Linked DNA regions of Arabidopsis thaliana. The protein of the gene in region 1 interacts with the protein of each later gene in a pairwise test. Each region holds a gene or a part of one and is shown on either strand. Other genes may lie near its edges.

The links. Proteins that work in one complex are often made in the same cells at the same time.
Region 2: the proteins of AT1G32410 (region 1) and AT1G36980 interact in a two-hybrid assay, tested with the Arabidopsis thaliana proteins (one large-scale study listed by BioGRID).

What each region holds. Positions count from the first base shown.
Region 1 is NC_003070.9:11,691,461-11,696,221, reverse strand, and holds AT1G32410 (Vacuolar protein sorting 55 (VPS55) family protein), read right to left. Parts: upstream 2,424-4,761; 5' UTR 2,297-2,423; intron 1,855-2,296; 5' UTR 1,825-1,854; coding exon 1,726-1,824; intron 1,617-1,725; coding exon 1,577-1,616; intron 1,366-1,576; coding exon 1,281-1,365; intron 1,124-1,280; coding exon 925-1,123; 3' UTR 647-924; downstream 1-646. Other genes in the region: AT1G32415 (pentatricopeptide (PPR) repeat-containing protein), read right to left, coding at 1-611. UniProt on the Arabidopsis thaliana protein: Involved in endosomal protein transport.
Region 2 is NC_003070.9:14,022,365-14,027,731, reverse strand, and holds AT1G36980 (transmembrane 50A-like protein), read right to left. Parts: upstream 3,099-5,367; 5' UTR 2,976-3,098; intron 2,794-2,975; 5' UTR 2,649-2,793; coding exon 2,516-2,648; intron 2,429-2,515; coding exon 2,341-2,428; intron 1,607-2,340; coding exon 1,454-1,606; intron 1,039-1,453; coding exon 1,005-1,038; 3' UTR 781-1,004; downstream 1-780. Other genes in the region: AT1G36990 (C-jun-amino-terminal kinase-interacting protein), read left to right, coding at 67-138.

The DNA.
Region 1 (4,761 bases):
TTCCACGACACAACATCTCTACTAGGCATAGCATCAAACACCTGTTTTGCCTTCTCCATATCACCATTCCTAATCAAACCCGTTACCAAAGTGTTCCACGAAACCACATTTCTCTCAGGCATTTCATCGAACAACTCAACTGCATCTTCACTCCTTCCGTCGTCACATAGCGCAGTAAGCATCACAGTCCAAGAAACAACATTCTTCGGCATTTCCCTAAACAATGTCCAAGCCTCATTCATTCTCCTACATTTAACATAACCCGTCAACATCGCATTACAAGTAACGATATTCCTCTCAGGCATTACTTCAAACAAAACCCTTGCTTCATCCAAGTATCCAGTTTTCGCGTACTTACTAAGAAGCGAAGTCCAGTAAACAACACGGTTGATACTTCCTCTCTGAGGAATTTTGTCGAGCAAGTGGCGTGCATGTACAAGACCTCCCTCAGATAAACGACGAAGTATAAGAGCTTCTTCATTAGAGAAACCTCGACGATAGCTTCCGTAATTCGGTATCTTATCTCCATAGTATCGACGACAAGATATTGAAGATCTGAGAGATAATTTTGAGAGAAAGCCACAAACTTTCTTTACACAGAGAGCTCGCATTCAAACACTTTTCACAGCTTCTTTATCTAAAAGACTCAGTTTTTCAATATGCTTTTGTAAAGAAAATTTATATATATTCCACCAAATAATAAATATGTTCTATACATCAAAACGTAACAAAACCACCCAAAAAAAAAATCATTCATACATACACTTGACACACAAACTCTTAAACTTGTGAAAATCCAATCAGTGAGTCATTCCATAGAAACAAGATGTTTTCGTTTCGAAGCATCAATCGAACGGGGAAGTGATAAAAGGCTGAGACTTTGTTGAGGTTTAAACAAATGATGATGAATTTGTGTGTGTCTTTTTAAATGTAGCTGTAATAGTTGTCACTGGCATCTCCTATGCAAATGTAACCCAAAATAGCCACGAGGAAGACAACGTAGGATGAGAGATCAAGGGCTAATGCGCCCCAACCGATGAGTCCGGCGTGTTTTAGAATCGATGGTATCGCGACGCTTCCAACTGCTGATGCACCAGTCAAGAACTTGGCTGCATTGATCCAACTGCATAAAAGAAAATGTTCATGTAAGCTCAGCGAGTTTCTTTGATATACCTAGACTTAGAAAGTCGATAATTGTAGTTGTGGGTTCACTTGGAATGTAACGTAAATGCAAATGCAAACCTAAACAAACAATGGAGGCCTGTATATAAATTGCTTACCTATTATCTGACTCGTTGAATAGAGATGTACTGTCTGATCCACCAAAGAAGAGCAAAGGCATTGGGAGGAGCACATACATTATAACTGCAAAGCAATATCAGATTCTGATTAACCGCAAGAAAGAGTTTAAAATCCATCACCATTGATATAATAATGGTTTTTCCAAGTTCCCTGACACTTTTTATGTAACCAAACAAGATTTAAAACAGACTACTTTCATCGATATAAAATGCAGTTTGCAAGACTAAAGATCGAACCAACAAAGAGATATTGGAGGTCGAGCGAAACAACTCACCACTTAGCATTGGCCACCAGTTATTGAACAGAGCACAAGCCTGGAACAAAATTAGCAACAAAGGGTTTAAACACAAGTATGAATCTACTATTGGCAGGAGAAGCATAAACAGGCAGGATCAAAACTTGAAAGAATCTCTTGGGGGATACCAGAATCTGCAACACAATCCCTGTAGATACAAGGATTGCTAAGAAAGCTATCTTCCCCATATCCAAACAAGTGCGCAGGTATCCAGGTACGTCTGCCATTGACAAGTCCTTCCACGATAAACCTGAAAGCTAATAATTAGAGAGAGACTTAAGTTTTTTGAGTTTCTAATGATAACGTCAAGCTATTAACGTTTACTAAGACCTTCAAAGATAAAATCAGTGAGCCAATCTTCAATTAAACATCAAAAGAATCCCCAAGAAAGTATCACTAAATATCTGATTTTTCTACTTCTCCATTCGCTAACTAACTGTGACAAAAATAATTATTTTCCAAAAATTTGAGAAAACTTCTCATTCTTCTATTCTTTTCTTTTTTGAAGAAGGTTTGAATTCGACAAAGCTCAACTACTTCCAAGAAATTCGAAGAAAATCTGATATTACTGATACAGTGATACCAATCCCAATCGCCAGAATTGATTTCACACGGATCCAAAGTTCAAAGAAAAAGGGGAAAATCACACAACAATAGCAACAATTTGAAGAATTTCAACCAGATAGATGAGAATCATACCGACCAAGTTTAGCCGATCAAATCTTTTTTTTTCACGAACCCGACTGTTGTTGTTGATTCGCTTCAAATATCAAATTTTTCAGACATTAATCATAGGTAAACCCTTCTGTCTTTCTGTTTTTGTAATATCGGAACTTCTATCAGCTGTGGTCGAGTCCATCGTAATATTGGTAAGCCCTTTGATGATGATCGGCCACGTGTGTACCAAACCCGATACGGTTTGACCTTATTTAGTCCGGTCCAGTCATGTCTGTTGCAGAACCACAGCAGGTGTGAGTTGGCAAGTGTGGAATCAAGTGACCAATAAAAAAGATTTAGAAATGACGCATGGAGGCTAATAACGGGCAGATGTGAGAAGGCCGTTAGAAGCTATAAGAGACTAAGAGTCATGAGCAGATTATTTCCATCATCATCAAGAATCATTTGTAAAAATCTAAAAACCCAAAAACAATTCATAACTAAGTTCTCTCATCTCGAGAGCTAACGCTTTATCATTTTGGTGTTTTAGGAACATCGGAGTGATTGTTACGTTTATTGATCGTTGATCGGAGAAGTGAAGTTGTTCAAATGAGAATCGGTGACTTTGATGTATTAATGTCCAACCCAAAATCTTAGTATTAACTCAAATTGGTACTTTTTAGTGTGTAAAGTAATCCCATTTACCTATTTATACTGATTTTTTTTATATAAAACAAACTTTTTTTGTTTATTTATGTTGTTGAGAGTGATTTTCCGACTACTAATCTGACTGCGTGTAAAGTAATCTGACTACTGATTTTTTTTATATAAAACAAACTTTTTTTGTTTATTTATGTTGTTGAGAGTGATTTTCCGACTACTAATCTGACTACTAATTTTTTGTAAAAATCTAAAAACCCAAAAACAATTCATAACTAAGTTCTCTCATCTCGAGAGCTAACGCTTTATCATTTTGGTGTTTTAGGAACATCGGAGTGATTGTTACGTTTATTGATCGTTGATCGGAGAAGTGAAGTTGTTCAAATGAGAATCGGTGACTTTGATGTATTAATGTCCAACCCAAAATCTTAGTATTAACTCAAATTGGTACTTTTTAGTGTGTAAAGTAATCCCATTTACCTATTTATACTGATTTTTTTTATATAAAACAAACTTTTTTTGTTTATTTATGTTGTTGAGAGTGATTTTCCGACTACTAATCTGACTGCGTGTAAAGTAATCTGACTACTGATTTTTTTTATATAAAACAAACTTTTTTTGTTTATTTATGTTGTTGAGAGTGATTTTCCGACTACTAATCTGACTGCGTGTAAAGTAATCTGACTACTGATTTTTTTTATATAAAACAAACTTTTTTTGTTTATTTATGTTGTTGAGAGTGATTTTCCGACTACTAATCTGACTACTAATTTTTTGTAAAAATCTAAAAACCCAAAAACAATTCATAACTAAGTTCTCTCATCTCGAGAGCTAACGCTTTATCATTTTGGTGTTTTAGGAACATCGGAGTGATTGTTACGTTTATTGATCGTTGATCGGAGAAGTGAAGTTGTTCAAATGAGAATCGGTGACTTTGATGTATTAATGTCCAACCCAAAATCTTAGTATTAACTCAAATTGGTACTTTTTAGTGTGTAAAGTAATCCCATTTACCTATTTATACTGATTTTTTTTATATAAAACAAACTTTTTTTGTTTATTTATGTTGTTGAGAGTGATTTTCCGAATAAAATTTTGTCAAAATCCTTCATACAATGTGATAATTTTTTTGGTTTTTCGAAATGATCATTATGAGATTATCAATTCTAACAATTAAACTTTGAAAACAACATTTTTATAAACCGAATTTCTAAATTATTTTTTGGATATTTTGACGGACAAGGTAATAAAAAATTGATAAGATATTTAACGCAGATCATAAACATACAAAATACGTTTTCTCGATAAAAATATTGTTTAACCCACAGAACAGTCTTGGTTCGTGAAAGCTCGTGACAATTTCGTAGGATAGACAAATCCTTTAAGCTGCCTTTTAGGCGATGAACAAAGCATTTTCATTTTCGTGTTAATTTCGCTCTATCATAGCTTCCTTTTGTAAACAAATCGAACGGACTACACAAATCTTCAATTATTTTCAGAAAAGATTTTATACGTAAATATTAAAAGTGCTTGTAAATTTAACTTCAAAAAAATAAAACTAAAGCTTTGTATTTTGTAATGTCTTGGAGTCTTTAGGACATATAGACATGTGTAGTACATTCCATTCCACACAAAACTAATTTTAATTGCCGACAGAAATCAGAAAGGATAAAGAATCTGTAAACTGAAATTATTCAACGACACACGTATTCGTAGTTGGGCTCCTGAAAAACTAAAATGGCCTATCTACCCATTGGACTTGTCACTTCATCTTCAAATTTAAATTGCCAGCTGGCATTTGTATGACACAGCAAAATTCCAAACAAATATTTTCCCATCCTTGGATT
Region 2 (5,367 bases), 2.3 Mb from region 1:
CTCTCTCTCTCATATTATAACTCAGAAATATTAATAATGGTTATGTTCTTTGTTTTGTTTGATCAGTACAAGGAGCTGAGGCCGTTATTTCCGGAGAGACTATCCATGATACATGAAGCAAGAGAGGATGTAGCTTAAGACTCCTGAACCCAACTTTACAAAACTGAAGAAAGTACTGGTTTTTGGAAAGATAGTTTCTAATTTCTTTTTTAATATATTTTTCTTCTTTTGGTCTTTTTGTTCCTGAGAAAAGCTTAGCTACTACTTTGGCAATGGGAGAGGAGAAAGGCAGGGAGGGGTTTTTGTTTGTTTGTTTTGATGATTTGCAAATAGTGCAAATAAAGCTGATGAGGCTTTGAGTTGCCATATGAGTGTCCTGCCCTCTTCAGACTTTGTAGATCTTTCTTTGGTCTGAAAAAAAAATGGCTCAGCTCTCACACACGTGTTCCTCTTTTTGTCTTTTTCTCTTGTCTCTAATGTTTGATGAGCAAGAGTTCGCTCTTAGGAGAATATATAATTGCGAAAGAGTTTCTTCATCAACACAAAACATTGGATAAACCCAATAGAGGTGCCAAACAGGCCAATCCGCAATAGGCATTTATATTTGTAAGACTGCGACAGGCTGGTCTGCTAAGACTGCCGGCAGAAATAATGTGTCCAAGTCTACCCACTAAGCCCAACGTGTTAGCATGCCGGCCTGCGAACTTATCTCATTGAGCATGTACCTCGTCTTGCTGATCACATGATTTTGAGTTTTCTTTTCTAGGTAATTTAAAAGGTTTGCCTATTTGCGTTCTCTTTGGACAACTGATTGATTTGGAGTATTTTCAATAACATTCACACAAAGTTTTAACAGAAACACACACTGATGCAACAGAGGAATCTCGCACACAATGCCAAGGTGACAAGACAAGACACAGGAATTTACATAGTAGAGAAACGAGAGGAACTTGTAAGTTGTCACAGTATGAATCTGAGTCGGAGATGAAGTATGTGCCTGTGCGCTACTCTGAGTGCGATGTCCAATACATTAGCCCACTGTCAAAAAAATTGTGGTCAGTGACCAGACACCAGAGATATATACAAATAGATTAGTATAAGATGATATGCAGTATACGAAAACAAAAAGGTTAGGATGCTTCACTGATTGCAATTCAAATCACATTTGCTAGGTTTGGAAGTTACTGTTACCAGTACAAAATCTATTGTGATTATGAAAGATGATTCTAACGAAAAGTTTTAGTCCAGATGCGAAAAGAAGACAGCCACATTAGTTAAGAATGGAAGTGTTAGAATCCAAAGGACTATGACTAAAATTGTAAGAATCACTAAATCTATTTGTACAAGTTTGGGTAATTTTGTAGGAGTATTTGTGTTCAATTTCCCAATCTAAAAAGCAGTGTTTAGTGTTTCAAGAAATGCACAACCAGAAGAGTGCATAGAATAGCTTTACCTTATCAATACAAATACACATTGAAAGACACCAGCCACACCAGTCCAAGTTGAAGGCCCAGTCTTCACAACCGAATCTTGAATCAGCAAGCCAACAGAAGCAGCTAAGGAAACAAATGCTACGACATACGCTATGAAAAGCCACAGCTTCAATCTGTAGCCAAGAATCCAAATACATAAAAACACAAATCAGAAACAGTTGAAACTAACCGCAAATGTCAGCGAAAACTTGATTTCAGATAATGAGGGTTATAAACACACAAGATTTCTCAAGTATCTTCTAGTTTACACAGAAATACAGATTAGAAACACTTAGTAACCAAGCTCTTAAATCTTATCCTTGATTAAATAACTGTATCAGCAAGCCAACATAAACAGCTAGGGAAACAAACGCTACGACATACGCTATGAAAAAGCCATAGCTTCAATCTGTAGCCAAGAATCCAAATACATAAATACACAAATCAGAAACAGTTTAAACTAACCGCAAATCTCAGCGAAAACTTGATTTCACATAAATGAAACACACAAGATCTCTCAAGTATCTTCTAGTTTACACAAAAAATACAGATTAGAAACACGAAGTAACCAAGCTCTTAACTCTTATCTTGATCAAAAACAGAATCAGAAGCAGAGCGAATGAAACAAATTCAACGACATACGCTATAAATAAGCTTCAATCCAAATCCATAAAACACAAATCATGAATACTTCAACACTTATAGAAGCAATGATCACTCAAATACTTCAAACTAAATGGATCAGTCACAAAAATCAGCTAAAATTTGTACACTTATCTCAACTACCTTCTACTTTCCACAGAATTACAGATTTAAACAAGAAGTAACCAAGCTCTTATGTTGACTCAGATCAATTTGAAAAACTAACCTCCACTCGCCTTCGTCGTAAGGAGAGTAATCAATGTCTTCTTTTCTGACGCAATTGAACATCAAAGCTCCGAGAGAAGCGAATATGCCTGCGAAATCCCCAAATCCAACGGACCAAAATCGCTCAAAATTCGGAAACCCTAATTGATAAATTATCGAGAGTTAGATATATTTACCGGGAAGGTAATGGACGAAGGGAACTTGGATGGAACTGCAAACGACGGCGTCGACCCAAAACCACCACCCGGTTCCGAAAACGGCGCCGGAGAATCCGGGTCCGAAAATCGCCCACAGTTCTGCCAAATCCATCGCTCGATATGATTCGTCTCCAATTGGATAGATAGATAAATAAAAACTTTATTGTTGATATTGTTAAATTATTATAGTTTTTATACCGAAAAAATGTCATTAAAATTATTATGCCAAAAGTGTCGAAACAAAGCATCAACTTTACCTGTAATGATAAAATCATCAAAGTAAATTATTAATTTTTTTCGATTTTGCCAAATAAAAGATATTAGATAATCAACTAACAGATCAATTTAACGTATAAAGTCAACAATAACATTTTCTGTCAAATAGTAAAACAACATCGTTTTTGTATTAAAATAAATAATACAAAAAACATATAGCTACCAGAATCGGACCCTGCATCTGTGGCTATGTAACTTTATTTGCGTGATTTGAAAAAACACTTTGCAAACGATGTTGTTTTACTATTTGTTCTGGTAGCTAATCTCAGAATCGATTCACCAGAACACATAGCTAATCTATCATATTCTCCATATCACGCAAATAAAGATATATAATATTTTATAATAATATTAAAAGGAGAAAAAATTGATGAAAATTAATCTAGAAATTGCAGGTCTTCTGATAACAAGAAAACTGTAAAACTTATTATCTGAAAGAGTCAATACAATTTGTTCGATACAGAGAGCTCTAAAACACAAATCTAGATCATTACTCTCACAAACCCAGACACATACGTCACAGGCAGTTACAAACAAAATGCATAAATCTTCTAAAGAAAGCTAAGTCTCAATATATACACTTCACACGTGTGACTTCTTCTTCAGCGCACGTGCTCCTCAGCACCATCTTCATTCGCACGTGCTTCACGCCTCTTCCTCCTTGTATACACTATTAAGGGCTTATCAATACCCCCTCCCCCCCCCCCCCTTCAACATGCAGCTTGTCCTGAAGCGCTAAACCTGGAAACTGTTTCTTCAAGTCCTTGGCTATCTCCCATGTATCCTCATGAACCGGAAGACCTTGCCAATGTACCAACGCTTCTAAGAGTCCATCCTCATTGTAACGAGTCTCCAGCACAGCTTCAGGCACAACCACAAACTCATTATCTGCAGTCAACACTTCCGGTAATGGAATGACTTGATGGTGGTCACCCAAAACCTGTTTCAACTGAGACACATGAAAAACAAGGTGTATTTTAGAACCCTCTGGAAGTTTCAGCCTATAAGCAACTTTCCCAATGCGTTCCATGATCTCAAACGGACCAAAATACTTCGCTGCCAACTTCTGACACACTCTCTTTGTCACAGAATTTTGACGATATGGTCTTAGCTTCAAGAACACCCTATTCCGTGTATCAAACTCAACTTCTCTTCTATGTTTATCATCGTTATTTTTCATTAACTGCTGTGCATTCACCAAATGCTCTTTAATATCGGCCAACATCAAATCCCTCTGCTTGAGTAACCCTTCTAACTCACAATTCTTAGTAGAATTAGCTTCAAAACGCATAATTGGTGGAGGATCTCTGCCATACAAGACCTTAAAAGGTGTTGTTTTGATAGTTGTATGAAAAGAAGAGTTATACCACAATTCAGCCCTAGGTAAGTATTGGAACCAAGTCTTAGGATGAGCTGAAGCAAAGCATCGCAAATAAGTCTCCAATGTGCGATTCAACACCTCTGTCTGGCCATCTGTTTGCGGATGGAAAGCAGTGCTGTATTTCAACTTAGTGCCTGATAGTTTGAAGCAGTCTTTCCAAAAGGAACTCAAAAACGTGTTATCCCTATCAGAAACTATCGATGCAGGGAACCCGTGCAGCTTCACTACCTCGTGAATAAAAATTCTAGCCACATCAACTGCATTGAAAGGATGTTTGAGACCAATGAAATGACCATATTTGCTTAATCTGTCTACCACCACCAAAATGACATTTTTTTCCGTGAGAACCAGGCAGCCCTTCAACAAAGTCCAAGGAAATGTCTTCCCAAACCTGCGTTGGAATTGGTAAAGGTTGTAACAACCCAGCCGGAGATAAGGTGGAGTATTTCTGTCGTTGACACATTTCACACTTAGCAACAAATTTCTGAATATCCTTCATCATACCTTCCCAATGAAATGATTGTTGAATACGTTTCATTGTCTTCAACACACCCGAATGACCACCCAACAGGCCACTATGATATTCAGCAAGTATGAGTGGTAAGAACTTTGAGTCTTTAGGAATGATCAATCTCTGTTTCTTCCATAATCTGCCTTCTTTCACAGTATAGGCACTAGTCCCTTGTTTAGCTGATAGACATTCTTTAACCAAGTGTTGCAGATGAGCATTAGAATCTATTTCTTCATAGAGATCATGCAACTGGAGAACTGTGGGCACTGTAAACGCCATTAACAACATTGACGAGAATGACCCAGTTGGTTGTACCATTCTAGATAACCCATCAGCCGCCTTGTTATCAACCCCAAGTTTGTATAGAATGTCAAATTCATAGTGCAAAAGCTTAGTGAGCCATTTCTGATAATCCATTGACACCTCTCTTTGTTCCTGCAAAAACTTTAAACTCTTCTGATCCGTGTGTAACACAAATCGGCGACCCATCAGATAGTGTTTCCACTTTTGAATTGATAACACAATCGCCATTAACTCCCTCTCATAAACTGGTTTAAGCTGCTCTTTAGATGTGAGACCATGGCTAAAACAAGCAATTGGTCTATTGTCTTGCATTAAAACTGCCCCCAGACCATTCCTGATGCATCAGCCTCTACAACGAAC